Alligator mississippiensis: one gene and its partner. The protein of the gene in region 1 purifies or fractionates together with the protein of each later gene. This does not show direct contact. Links are inferred from orthologs where the notes say so. Each region holds a gene or a part of one and is shown in the gene's direction. Other genes may lie near its edges.

The links. Proteins that work in one complex are often made in the same cells at the same time.
Region 2: the proteins of COP1 (region 1) and SOX2 purify together in Homo sapiens (affinity purification with western blotting; 3 studies listed by BioGRID). This does not show direct contact. The link is inferred for Alligator mississippiensis from reciprocal best matches to the Homo sapiens genes COP1 and SOX2.

The regions. Positions count from the first base shown.
Region 1 is NC_081828.1:49,407,912-49,414,946, reverse strand, and holds the start of COP1 (E3 ubiquitin-protein ligase COP1), read left to right. Parts: upstream 1-3,932; 5' UTR 3,933-4,099; coding exon 4,100-4,449; intron 4,450-7,035. UniProt on the Homo sapiens protein: E3 ubiquitin-protein ligase that mediates ubiquitination and subsequent proteasomal degradation of target proteins.
Region 2 is NC_081830.1:81,639,526-81,646,511, forward strand, and holds SOX2 (transcription factor SOX-2), read left to right. Parts: upstream 1-3,910; 5' UTR 3,911-4,404; coding exon 4,405-5,352; 3' UTR 5,353-6,383; downstream 6,384-6,986. UniProt on the Homo sapiens protein: Transcription factor that forms a trimeric complex with OCT4 on DNA and controls the expression of a number of genes involved in embryonic development such as YES1, FGF4, UTF1 and ZFP206. Binds to the proximal enhancer region of NANOG.

The DNA.
Region 1 (7,035 bases):
CTAGTGAACCCCCCCCCACTTTCTTCAGTTTCTCTTTACAAGATAGATACCTACTGACACAATTTGAGATGTGTGCACTGATTTAGTGTGCCTTGATTTTTGAGTGCCCATCCTGAAAACTTTGCTTAATTTTTTTGGATGTTGGTCAAAGAGAGTTTGTGTGGGTGAGTGAATAAGGGTCATCAGAGGTATGCGTGGGCAGGAGGAAGACTGAGGAAGGATGCACAGCAATTTGGGCTTCAGGAGGAAGACTACAAAGGGTAAGGAAGTAAGGGCATAGAGAGGGAGAATATAAGATGTAGGAGACTAGAGGGACAGAGATGGAAAATGGGGGAGGGGAGGCAGATGTAGACATGGTATCAAATATAACTGAGGGGAAGAAAAGATACCAGGGAGAACAGGGCAGCAGAAGAGAGAGAGGGGCTGGTGGGACAGAGAGGGAAACAGCAGAGTGATACGGGGGAAAAAATAGGTTAAAAATGACAGTACCCATTTCAAGATTTTGAGAGAAAGTAAGAGGACCCCTCTTAAAGCCAGGATAAGAGGTGCCCTTTACTTTGTATTTAAAAGTGAATCAATGCTTCTAGCTTAGGGGTTTGCTGTTTCCCCCAAAAGGCTCAAAAATCACAAGAAGGACCAAAAATAATGTTTGCCAGGACTTTTAAACCAGTTGCATGAATTTTGGTTGGTCTGACTCAGGAATATGACTCCCTAGAGCTAGCAATGTTCATTCCTCCCTCTCTCATGTTGTTTGTTAAATATATTAACTTGTATAAAGGGCTCAGAAATTGTTAACATATATTCAGTATTGCCAAGCCTTGCCTTTAATGGGGAATCTCACAATATTTGATTTTATTCCAGCTTGTGGCATCATGAATAGCAACTTTCTTTTGAATCCTGGTGGCTGCAGGAAAAACCTTAAAGTATGAACCCTAAGCACCCAAAGGCTTAATGGGCGGCCCAGAATGTGTCAGTAGGAAGAAATCCTGATTTTTAAGTGAGCATCCTTGCTCTGGAGGGACCTGACTAGCCATTTTTGAACACTCAGGCTGGATTTTGATATTGTAGCCTGACAGCATTTTGGTAACACCCTTGGGACTTAATCATTGGCCAGGGCAGATTTAGATTTAGGGGGTGATTTACAGAGGAGTAGCTGTTTCCTCTGTCCTAACAGTGAGCAAATAAGCATAGGGCACCTGGCACAGCTGAAAAGCAAGGTGCTTTGCTAACTGGGAACACATACAATGCCCCAGGGAAGCAGCCAGTGCCATTGCATGTTTTGCAGGTGGGGAAGTCAAGGCATGGCCTGATACAGGGAACCAGGCAGTCAATCAATGCAAGCTGCTGTGGGGGCAGGGAGCTCAGTCCCAATGAAACTCAGGGTGTGTGTGACTTCTCTCAGGGGATCACCCAGCCTGGAGATGGGGCCAGACCCTGGGGGACTGCAAGGGCTGCTACTTGTCCGAGGGCCATGGGGTGGTTGGGGGGAGCGGGGGTTCAGCCATTGTTGCCAGTCCTAAATATGAAATTACATTGGAAGCTCAAAATTATCATATTTGCTGACAAGGTTCTTTGGGTGAATCTGATATCTTTTATTACACCAACTGAAATAGTTGGAAAACAATTATTAAGCAAGCTTTTGGGTTCAAAAACCCTTCATCAGGCTAAGGAAGTTTTAGCAGTTGGTGTGTGCTCTTCCTGGATGGAATGGAAAGTAAAGAAGCCAGAGGCTGGGCTGGTATGCATACAAGACAGGTAGTCAGTGAAAATGTAGATTGAGGAGTCAATGGGTGAGAGACAGGCTAGAGGGGCGGGGGGGGGGGGGGGGAAGAGAGAGCAGGGGGAATGAATAGTGGAGAGATACCTGGGGAGTCAGATGTCAGGCAGGCTATAATGTGTCATAAATCCGATGTCTATATTTAGTCCATGATTTTTAGTATCCAGGAGGTTGATGAAGTGGAGTTCATAGGCTCATCTCTGGGAAGTGTTGTGTAAGTTTCCCTTGAGGATCAGGACTGAGAGACTGGAGAGAGAGTGGTGTTCTTGTGAGAAATGTGCCCCCACAGGTAATTGGGTATTTCTGTCTTTGATAGATTTCTGGTGTGCATTCATTCTGGTACGCAGTTGTTGTTTGGTCTCTCCTATGTATTTTCCATCAGGGCATTTGGTGCATTAGATGAGATATATTACATTTCTAGAGGTGCAGCTGTAAGATCCAGGAATGCTGATGGCTCTGTTGTGGGGTGTAGTAATAGTGGGGGTGGTGGAGATGTGTTGGCAGGTTTTGCATTTCTTGTCATGGCACAGTTTGGATCTTTTTAGTGTGTTCTGGGCTTGAGGAAGTTTGCTTCTGGTGATGAGGTTGGCGAGGTTCAGTGCTTGTTGGAAGGCTAGGATGGGTGGCTCTGGGAAGATCTTTTTAAGAATAAGGTCTCTTTTTAGTATGGGTTGCAATTGTTTGAGGATTTTCCGTACAGGTTCAAGGGATGGGTGATACGTCATAACCAGCGGTGTGCGACTTTTGGGGGGTTTTCTTCTGTACTGCAGCAGTTCTTCATGTGGTATCTGGGTGGCTCTTTCAAATGTGTGATCTATCTCTCTGGAGGAGTGTCCTTGTTGGGTGAAAGCCTTTTTGAGATTGGTGAGGTGGCGATCCCGGGTGTTCTCTTCAGTGCAACTTTGGTGGTATCTGAGGGCTTGGCTGTGTATCACAGCTTTTTTGATGTGTTTAGGGTGATTGCTGGTTCTGTGCAGATATGTATGTTGGTCTGTGGGTTTCTTGTGTAACGTGGTCTGTCTAAAAAGGAGATGTTGGTGCTGAAGTATTGTAGAGAAAGTCGGATGGAGGGATGGTGATTGTTGAATTTCTGATGGAACTCATTCAGAGATTGTAGGTTTTCAGTCCAAATGATGAAGATGTCATTGATATATCTTAAGTATAGCAAGGGTTTGATGGTGCAGTTCTTGAGGAAGTCTTCTTATATTTGCTGAGAAACTATTAAACACTGGACAAGTATGCAAATAAGCATGTAACTCAGTCTTCTTCTTTACTTAATATTGCTTTCTGTAACTCACTGGTGAGTAAGTGAGATCTGGGTTGTCAAAACTGAAGCATTTCTTTATTTGGAGGCAAGCAGGCATAAGAAAGTGCTGACAGCAAACCCAACATTCAGTTAAGGCTCTCTGAGCGCATGAACGGCGCGTGCCCCTGGCGGCTGGGGGCACAGTTGTGCCGGCAGTGGCGAGGAGCTCCTGCAGATGCTACCGGCACTGTGGGCGAGGGTGGGGGCTGGCGAGCGCCAACCAGGAGTCGGTAACCACCTGCAGGCACCGCCGGCAGCGGCAGCCGGGGGCGGTCGTGGACCACCCGCAGACAACCGGCGACAGTGTGGCGAGCGGCAACCGCCCACAGACGCTGCTGACAGTGTTGGCGGCGCCTTTTTGCAGGGGGTGCACCGCCACGTGCAGGGGGTGCACTGCCACGTCTGTGCACGCCCTATGCGTCACCCCTGCCTGAGGGTGACTTGGGTTTTGCATGTGCTGCACCAAATAGCTGCCTCCAAAATGATCCTATGTTTTGAGCACTGTTATTGGTTGTACATTACACAAGGGTTGACATTACGGTACAAATATAACGATGGTACACCAGCAGCACCGGATCCAGCGCCCTGCGGGACAGCTGCTGCTTGCATCCGACGCCCGGCCCCGCCCCGCCCGCTTCACGCCCCCCAACTCCCACGCTCAGCGCGCATGTACAACCCCCTCCCAGCTACCGCGGCCGAAACTCCGACAGCTGTTGAGGCGGGCATGCGCAGTGCAACGGAGCGCTCTGCCTTGCAGGGAGCCAATAAAGATTCAACAAGACGTTCGGTCTGTCCCTCGGGGGGAGGGGGAGCAGGAGTACTAGTAGTGGCTGTGTGTTCGCGGTGCTCCGTGTGCCAATAAAGTTTTGCTTGCGGCAGCTCGCGGCGCTCCCGGCGGCCGCTCCCCCTGCCCCGCGGGGGGGGGTTGTTTTTTTTTTTTGAACAAACTTTATTGTTCCGCCGCGCGCGCGCAGGATGCGCTGAGGCCCGCGCTCGCTGCGCAGCCCGGCCTCGGCATGTCGGGCAGCCGGCAGCAGCCGCCGCACCCGCCGGGCGGGCCGGGCGGCGCCGCCGCGGGCGCCGCCAGCTCCGTCACGGTGGCCTCCTCCTCGTCCTCGGCGGCGGCCGCGGCGCCGGGCTCGTCGTCGGGCGGCACGGCCGGCCCCGCGCGGCCTGTGCTGGTGGCGGCGGCCTCGGGCTCCGGCGCGGCGGCGGCGGCCTCGCGGCTGGCTGGGGCGGCCCGGCCTGGCGGCGGCGCCGGCGGTTCCTCCTCGGGCGGCGGCGGCAGCAGGAAGAGGCCGCTGCTGACTCCGCTCTGCAACGGGCTCCTCAACTCCTATGAGGACAAGAGCAACGATTTCGTGTGGTGAGTGCGGCCGGGCTCCGGGGGAGGCACCGAGGCCGCGGCCCCGACCGGCTCGGCCCCCTTGTTCTGTCGCCGAGTCGCTTTGAGGCAGCGCCGCGGGGCCCGGCCCGTGTCAGGCCTGGCCCCCGCGGCTTTCAGGGGTGGCAGTTGTCGCCGTGGGGTCCTGAGGTCATGGTCCGGAGCCGCTGACTCTTGCCTGGGCCCTTGCCTGCTTCTTTGCTGCCAACCCGAGTACTTTGCTCTTCTCTGCTGGGCAGCTGCACTTCACCATCGTCATGGGACAGCATGTAGCGTGCGCGGCGGCGAGGAAATCATCTGTTGGGCGATTCTCAACCAAGACCCTTTGTAGGGTGCCCTGTGGGGGACACAGGCGTGAATCGCGAGGTTTCACATGGAAAGCCAGGAGTTGTTCTCTTTCTGAGGGCTTTGCAGCAGGAAACCTGCTCTGTTGCTTTTCTGTGGTAGGAAAAAAAAAAAAAGCGAAAACGAAGACGTCATGTTTTCCAAGGGAGGCCTCGAGTCTGCCCATGGGTGCCTGGAGTCTAAAAAGGTTGAGAACCACTAGGTCAGGAGTTTTCAACCTCTTTGGATCAGCAGACCCCTGGCAGCTGGACACGGAGCTGGGGGTGTGCAGCCGAACGCAGAGCAGCAGCACCCGCCATGTGTGAGCTTCCCCCACCCCCTGCATCCAGTTGGGCAGGCGGCGGCAGCGAGGGACGGTGCATGGTGGTGGTGCTCCATCCCTCCCTGCCTGCCCGCCCATACCCTCTAGGGCCTTCTCAAGTACCCTGACAACCCCTGCACTAGGTTAATGCTACCAGCCCTTGTCAGTGGCTGTCAGCTGGGCACTTTCAGCAGTTGTGAGCTTGACTAGGTCCTGCCAGTTTCAGGCGTAAGGGGTTAAGGTAAGGAAGGGGTCTTGAAGAGGTTCAAAGAGCTGTTCTTACCTGAATTTGTTGGCATGTTAAAGTAGTGTCTTTAGTATTGAAACTAATGGGATTTGGCAAGTGGTTAGTGCCATTTGTTTAGTTTTAAATGGCTGTCCCTGGTGTTTTTAGCCATCTTAACTGGCTAATATTGTATACATAGGCCCTAAAATAGCAGAGTTGTGGGGCATTTTTAGATTGGCTCCAGTCCAATCTTCTGGTTAAAAGCAAGGAGATAGCATTTACAGCCAACTCTGTGTTCTATACTGGCTAATAGCAAAGGCGTCTGTACAACATGAGGCAGCACTGTACACAAGCTAGTTCTGGAACCAGAAGTAGTGTCACCTTGTTTACATGACGCTGTACCCAGTCTGATAGACCCTGCATCTGTGCTAGGTCACATATCTGCACAGCACTGCCTTGCATCAAGTAGGTATTCTCAGTGTCTTGTCCCAGTAGCAACAAACGGTTGTATTCCATGTAGCAAAAACTTTAAAAAGTGGCCTTCAGGGGTATCCTCAAGTATAACGTGCTTCAATAAACCAACCTGAAATTAAAATAGCAGGGATCACTATGGTGAGACCCACATGTGGGAAGAATGTTTATAGCAGCTTTAAATGGGGAAATTAGATTGGGTAGCTGTTTCCTAATGGCTTCTGACAGTTAGAAGTTGTACAGCATTGTTAAAGTTCAGTTTTACACATCTACCAGAGAGTGCTTTTGCAGCTGTTGTCTGTTCCGTATATTCTTCACCCTACCCATCAGTAGCTTTCATCTTATCTATGTTGAGTCAAAGTCATATCACTCACGGGTATCTCCCTCTTTGACAACGTGGAGAGACAACTCTGAGACTATAGCATTTGCACTTAACAAAACGAGATCTTGAGTATTATCTTTTTAACACTAATGTTGCAAACTTATATGCCTAGCTTTCCAAATCTTTTTAAGTATTGAATGGGACTGCATATATGAGATGACCTTTATGGAGGAAGAGTAAAACCTCTTAACCTTCTTTTTGAGTGGTCCTAAGAGATGGTGAACTCATGAAGGGGTTTCCTCTGGGACTCTGAAGTTGAGTTACTGGTGTTGAAGGCGGCTGATGGATCTAACAGAATGGGCATGAATTGCTGCCCAGTGCTGGGAAGAAATGATTAACCATAAATGATAATTTCACTTATGTCAAACCAGCTACTGAAAGATAAGTAGGAAATGTGAACAGTGATGAGTTGACCATGTACTTGGAATTGTTTAGATGTTTGATGCTGTCTTTTCAATGTTTCCCCAAATAGTGAGTTAACTTGTTGTTTAATACCACAAGCTGTTTCCTGAGCCAAGGCCTCATGATCGCTAGCTTAGGGGCTGCTACTTTCAAGAGAGGTTGATGCTTGAAGCGCCAGACCTTTTGTTAAGATCTAACAATAAAATGTAGCTGCAAAAGAAGGGGCCTTGTGTAGTACTGATTGTGGGATATTGATGCTATATTAATTGAAGCCCGGGTTCTTCACTGAATGCCATGACTGGTGGTGTGTTAGGTTTTTTGATAAGATTTCTTACAGGACTGTCCTGCTTGGGTACTGGCTTTTGAGTTGTAGGTTATATGGTTACTTGTAGTAATATATTAAGATCTTTAGAAGTTACTGTAACACACACATTGTAAGCT
Region 2 (6,986 bases), on another chromosome or scaffold:
TGCAGAGATTAGCACGCTTCGAGGAGAAGGGGGCTGGTGCCTCTCTCGGGATTATAGATCCCGTCTCAGCCAAACCTGGCACGTTATTTGGGTTGATTGTCATTGCTCGGTGATCTCTCCCCAAGGCTGGGGGAGTTTCCCCCTCTCTGAAAAAATGCAGAAAGCTGAATCTCACATTTTAAAGCCTTGTTAGTGGGGGTCGGGGCGAACTGCCTGCCAAAAAGAAGGAATGGACTGGTTACTGATTTGACTCGTGAAATATCAGCCTGGAAAGACTTTTAGGACCTGGCAGTACTTAAAAAAAAAAAACCCAAAAACCACCAACCCCCCCCCCCCAAACGCCAGAGCTCAGCTCATCTGTGTAATACCCCCAGGACATGACCCCCCTTCCTTCATACCTATTAATGGTTGTAAATGAACAAAGCCTTTTACCAGAACAACACCAGTGTTGGCCTAAAACCTTCCTTGGGGTGTTTCTTGGGGGAGATCTTCCTCGGGAACTATATTGGGGCGGGGGGAGCAATTTTCCTCCAGGGTTTGCTGCTTGTACTGCAATAACGCGCCTTGTGCCATTAGGGGTTCACCAGGGAGTGGGTTACAGTGAGTCTGGCAAAACTTCCCTGGGCTAACTTTAGCCTCTGTGCAGTTAGCTGGTTCCAGAATTAGAAAGGGGGGGGGGGGGGGAAATCTCTCTGTACATTTTCGTCTTCAGATTTTTTTTTAACGTAATGAAATTAAAACTTTTGGAGCTCACAGTTGACGTTTTGCAGAAAATTGAGTTATCAAGGCAGTAATTATTTCACAGGGAGATAAAACTCTCATAGCCCTAACTGTCAAATAGGGCCCTTTTCAGATTTTAATTACAAAATAAAATTAGTCTGCTCTTCCTCGGAAGGGTTTGTGAGTGGCTAAACAGAGCTTTCCCCAATACTGGTGGTCGTCAAACTCTGCTAATTAGCAATGCTGAGAAATTCCAGTTAACAAGGACATTCTGTAAGTCTCTGCAGGTTCCCCGCCGCTCGCCTTCATTTCCATAAGAAGATTAAGAGTGGAGGGGAACACACTCAAATGCAGATGCAGAAAAGAAGCGTTTTTAACAAGCATCATAATAGTAAGATGCTTGGCTAGTTCTCACCTAATTACTGCAAGTTAAACCTCTATTTGCAGCTAAGGACAAAAAAAAAAAAAAATCGAGGCTGCAATCTTCCATCTCCACCAGGCTGCTTAATAGTTTGCTTTAGATTTGTTACTAGCAAGGTCAGTGCGAAAAAATTATGTAGATATCCCTGATGTTATAGTCCCCGATAGGCTGCATCTTCAGGGCTTTTAGAAGAAATTGGTGGGTGCAGCCCGGGTCCGCACAAGAAATAAATAAAAATCCAAGTCGTTAACATCCATTTTCTCGTTAATAAGCTCATCACCCCCGAATAAGCGCGAACCCGCCTCGGACTCCCGCGCTGAGCGCGTTTGCGGACTATTTGTTTAATGTGAGCACTTTTCATTTCCATAAATTATACCAAAGGCAACGATTTTTAAAATCCATTCAGATTAAACCATGCCTCTCTAGGCCTCCCTTTTAAAAATCTCGATCTTCTTCAATAGACCGTTGTCGTTATTGTTACTAATACTGAAGCTGGAGGAAGGCTCTCATTGTTTTTTTACATTATTTAAACGAGTAGCCAGGAACCCGGTTTATGGAGCCAGAAACGTGCACGTAGGAAACGGAGAAGAACAAATTGTGAAAGAGCTATCACCTTTATCTTATTTTTCTATAGCGCATTATTATGTATATATGCCAGAGGCAGTTTATTGCATTGATAAGTAAAACACGGTTAATTAAAATAAAGCTGTAAATACTCATGATAACACAATTGTTAGGTATTTCCATCGCTTATTTATATGATAAATGCAATTAACAAAGAGCCAAGCCAGCCACTTTAACCTCTTCAATGTGTTATTAGAGAGTTCAGGCACAAATATATGCATCTAGTTACGTGTAAAATCTTGCCTTGCCTTTGCTGCAGCCAAGGCTCACACACAGACACACACACACTCCCAACTGATTCTGCCTCTGTAACTACAGTAGAGAACAAAAATAAGACTTGCTTGTCTAACACCAACCATCAGTTATCAATTTATTACGATAAACAAACACCACCACCCCCTTCCCCCCTCCCCCAATTTAATTATCCATAAGGTTTTTTGTGTGTGTGTTTTTTGGAATAATGTTATCAAGTGCAGCCCCAGGCGTAAACAATACCAAAGTAAATAGTTGCGTGCCCTCAGTAGCGTCTGGACAATCAGAATTCGTTTCTAGCTTGAATCTCATAATTTGTACCTATTTTCCTCTGCTTTAACCTATCACTTATCTACGGGCTATATGTACATTTTCGAATTAAACGCATTAAATCTGATAGGATTTATTTACATAATCCATAAAAAGATGCATCCGTGCTGTTGGGGTTTGTTTTTTTTTTATTACTTAGATTACATATAATTATTTCCACCCCCCCCTTTCCTTTTATTATTTTTAAACATTTCATTTGAAAAGTGAGAGCGAGCCTTGCCTGGGAGCCGAGTCTGCCAGTAGGGGGCGCACCAGCCCCATCCCTGAAGCCCCCGCGCTCGGAAAGTCCAGGGCAGCCTCCAAGTTATTTCTCACCTCCCTTTGTGTGTGTGTGTGTGTGTGTGTGTGTGTGTGTGTGTGTTTCTAAATCGTTCTTTCGGCACTGGATTTAATCTGATGCAGACCTGAAATCCAGCAGATTGTACAGTCCGCGCACAGCACCAAATACAGTCAGTCTCGGGAGGTTTTCAGTCGCGCCAAACTTTCCTGGGGAGGCCGCGGGGCAGGCTCCGAGCCCGGGGCGCAGGGCGGAGCGCGCCCCGGTGCGGCGTGCCCGTCCAGACAGCTCGCCACGTTTTCAGCCCCAGGAAGAGGGGGGCGAAGGGAGCCCCTGCCCGTGGGAGCACTTCATAAAACAGAAATGGCGTGAGGCTTCCCCCCCCCCCTTTCTTTGTAGTCAAGTGCATTTTAGCAACAAAGATCCCAACAAGAGAGTGGAAGTAAACTTAGCCGGGCCTTTGTTTGGCCCCGTGTAGCGACAACAAGAGAAACAAAACTACCTATTTGTAACGGACGTGCTGCCATCTCTCCCCGCCATTGAGCTCCCACCTATTGAAGTCTTTACGTCGGGACAATGGGGCCGAGTCTAAAATTACCCTCCCGAGCCCAGGGCGGCTTCCCACTCCCGCGTCCTGCCCCTGCCGCGCGGCCCGCGGCCCGGGGAGCAGCACGCGGGGCGCGGGGCTGGGGCCAGGCGGGGGTCGCCGCAGCTGGGGGGCGGCCCCCTCCCCCGGGGCTGCAAGCAGACGCCCGGGGCATGGCGGGGGAGCTCGGCCCCTTCTTTCTGGGAGGCGCAGGGGGCTTCCAGGCTGTGAATGGAGCCGGGCTAGGGGGAGGGGAGGGCCTGCTCCCCTGCACCTGCCCTGCACAGGCCCCTCCGCGAGAGCCGGCGGTGGGGGGAGAGGCAATGGCAGGCAGGGGAGGCCCGCACCCAACACACGCAACTTTGCGGAGGCCTCGCGCTCCCCCGCGGCTTTCCCCCGCACCAAGTTGTGTGTGTGTGTGTGTGTGTGCGCGCGCGCGTGTTTTTAATGTAGCAACAATGCTGTTTACCCACTTCCTCCAAAAGGCGTGTGTGACCTGTTGCTGGAAGAGGCGCGACAAAGCCTCGCTAGTGGCTGCCTGGCTCGGCCGAGGGCCCGCCCCCCGTCCCCCCCCCCGGGCCGGCCCGGCGGCGCCCGCAGCCCCCGCCCCGTTTCATGCAAAACCAGGGGTAGAGGCTCGTCCTCAGTGGAGGAGCCGGCGCGCGCTGATTGGCCGGGCCCAGCGCATTTATTCCCTGACAAGCCCCCATCACATGGATGGTTGTCTATTAACTTGTTCAAAAAAGTATCAGGAGTTGTCAAGGCAGAGAGAGAGAAAGAGAGGGAGAGGGAGAGGGAGTGCGCGTGTTTGCAAAAGGGGGCAAAGGAGTTTGCTGGCTCTTTAAGACCGAGGTGGAGGGAAAGCGCTGGAGAGAGGCAGAGAAAAGGGGCAAAAAGGAGAAAGAAGAAGTTTGGGTTTTTGGTTTGGTTTTTTTTTTGTTTTGTTTTGGTTTTTTGGTTGTGGTTTTTTTTTTTTTTTTTTTTGCAAAGCCAGGCTGCAGCAGCCGCCACCGCCACCGGCCTGATCCCTCCGACAGGCAAGAGGAAGCCCCTGATCCTGATCCAAGCGCGGGGTGTTTCGGGGAGCCCCCTCCCCCCCTTGCACACCCCTCCCTAGCCGGAGAGAAAGTCCAGCTCGGGACGTTTGCTTCTCGCTTCTCCGCGGAAGCCTCGGGCCAGGCAGAAGCCGCTTGAATGTACAACATGATGGAAACCGAGCTCAAGCCGCCCGCCCCCCAGCCCGCCTCGGGAGGCGGCACGGGCAACTCCAACTCGGCCGCTCCCAACCAGAAGAACAGCCCGGACCGGGTCAAGCGCCCCATGAACGCCTTCATGGTCTGGTCCCGGGGCCAGCGGCGGAAAATGGCCCAGGAGAACCCCAAGATGCACAACTCGGAGATCAGCAAGCGGCTCGGGGCCGAGTGGAAACTTTTATCCGAGGCGGAGAAGAGACCCTTCATCGATGAAGCCAAGCGGCTCCGCGCTCTGCACATGAAGGAGCACCCGGATTATAAATACCGACCCCGGCGGAAAACCAAGACCCTGATGAAGAAGGATAAGTACACGTTGCCAGGGGGCTTGCTGGCGCCGGGCACCAATAGCATGACCACCGGGGTCGGGGTTGGGGCCACCTTGGGAGCTGGGGTGAACCAGAGGATGGACAGTTATGCTCACATGAACGGCTGGACCAACGGAGGGTATGGGATGATGCAAGATCAGCTCGGCTACCCCCAGCACCCGGGCTTGAACGCGCACAACGCGGCTCAGATGCAGCCCATGCACCGCTACGACGTGAGCGCCCTGCAGTACAACTCCATGACCAGCTCGCAGACCTATATGAACGGATCGCCCACCTACAGCATGTCTTACTCCCAGCAAGGGACCCCGGGCATGGCCCTGGGCTCCATGGGCTCTGTGGTCAAGACGGAATCCAGCTCCAGCCCCCCAGTAGTTACTTCCTCTTCCCATTCCAGGGCTCCTTGCCAAGCTGGGGACCTTCGGGACATGATCAGCATGTATCTACCAGGTGCTGAAGTACCAGAACCAGCTGCCCCAAGCAGACTTCATATGTCCCAACACTACCAGAGTGCACCTGTTCCTGGCACAGCCATTAATGGCACACTTCCTCTATCACATATGTAAGACAAAGGGGCAGGGGGGGAAGGAGAGCTGAACTCCAACCAACAAACAAAAAACTTTTATTAGAGATTCTGGACTTTTTTTTTTTTTTGGACTATTTTTGTACAGAGAAAACTGGGGAGGGCAGAAAAAACAAAACAAAACAAACAAACAAAAACTAACCCCGCCGAGGACCTTGTATAGATCTGAAGGGGAAGAAACTACACAAAACTTTTTAAAAGTTCTAGTGAAACGGTAGGAACTTTGCAGAAAGTTTGCAAAAGTCTTTACCAATAATATTTAGAGCTAGACTCAAAAAGCGACGAGGAAAAAAAATGTTTTAATATTTGCAGGCGACTTTTGTACAGTATTTATCAAAATAAACATGGCAATCAGAATGTCCATTGTTAATATGGGGGGGAAACACTTGAGAATTTGCCAATTATTTTTTAAAAACAAAGTAGAGTTTACTTGGAGCCGCGCAGCTGAATTATAGCAGCTGCCAAAGGAGTGGAGATTTATTTTACAGAATTTGGACATTTTAATTGTTTTAGAAATTGTACAAAAGGCAAAAAAATGTAGGATAAGTACTTGCAAACCAGTGAATTGGTTTTCTATAAAAGGGCAAACGTTTAGATTGTACTAAATTTTTTTTACTTGTTAAAAAGCAAAAATTGCCACTGCAGGTTCACATACCGTTTGTTAATTTATAATAGCCTTTTTGTTTCCAGAATTCATCCTGTTCAGAGAGAGAGAGAGAGACAGAGAAACCACACACACAAGCTGAAATGACTGTGTTTGAAATATTTTCTTATGGTTTGTAATATTTCTGTAAATTTATTGTGATGCTATTTTAAGTTCCTTTTTTTTTTCCTCTCATTTTCCGTAGTTGTATTTTAAAGATTCGGCTCTGTATTATTTGAAATCAGTCTGCCGACAGTCCATGTATATATTTGAACTAATACCATCCTTATAACAGGTACATATTCAACTTAAGTTTTTACTCCATTATGCACAGTTTGAGATAAATAAATTTTTGACATATGGACACTGAAGTTACGCCTGAGTCTTGCATTTCTTTTTTGTAATACGAGCTGTTTTGATTTTTTTTTTAAAGAAAAAATAATAATAATAATGCAGTTCAAGGTCTGACCGTAGTCAGCTGAGTGTGGTCAGTTCATGACAACACGGTGTAAGTAAGTACCGCGCGAAAAGCTCGGCTCTGGCGCTGGAGAAGAGCAGGGCTCGGAGTAGGTGGAAACTGCAGTCCTCCTTGCGGGCCTGAGAAGCGCGCGGTGTAAGTGCCAGCCCGGGAGACTTGTGCCGAGGCGAAGGGAGGTGTGTGGACTTGGTGCTGAGACCACTTGTTGCCGCTGGGCTGAGCTGGGACCTTGCACTTGGTGTCAAGTGAAACGGGCGCGCGTGGCAGGAGCGGAGCGAGTGCGAAGGCAACAAGTAAGCGGCGTGGCTCGCGGGCTGGCTGGGGGCACGCGGGCCGGGCCGCAGCGGAGCGTTGTGCCGTCGCGCCGGGCCGGGCGGGGCCGGGCCGGGGCCAGAGCATCCCCGCCGGCCGCGCGGAGGGTGCTGGCGGGGCGGAGGCGCCGGCGGGGCGTGCGGAGCTCTGCTTCCTTTGTCTGTGCCTTCCTCAACTTTCTCCC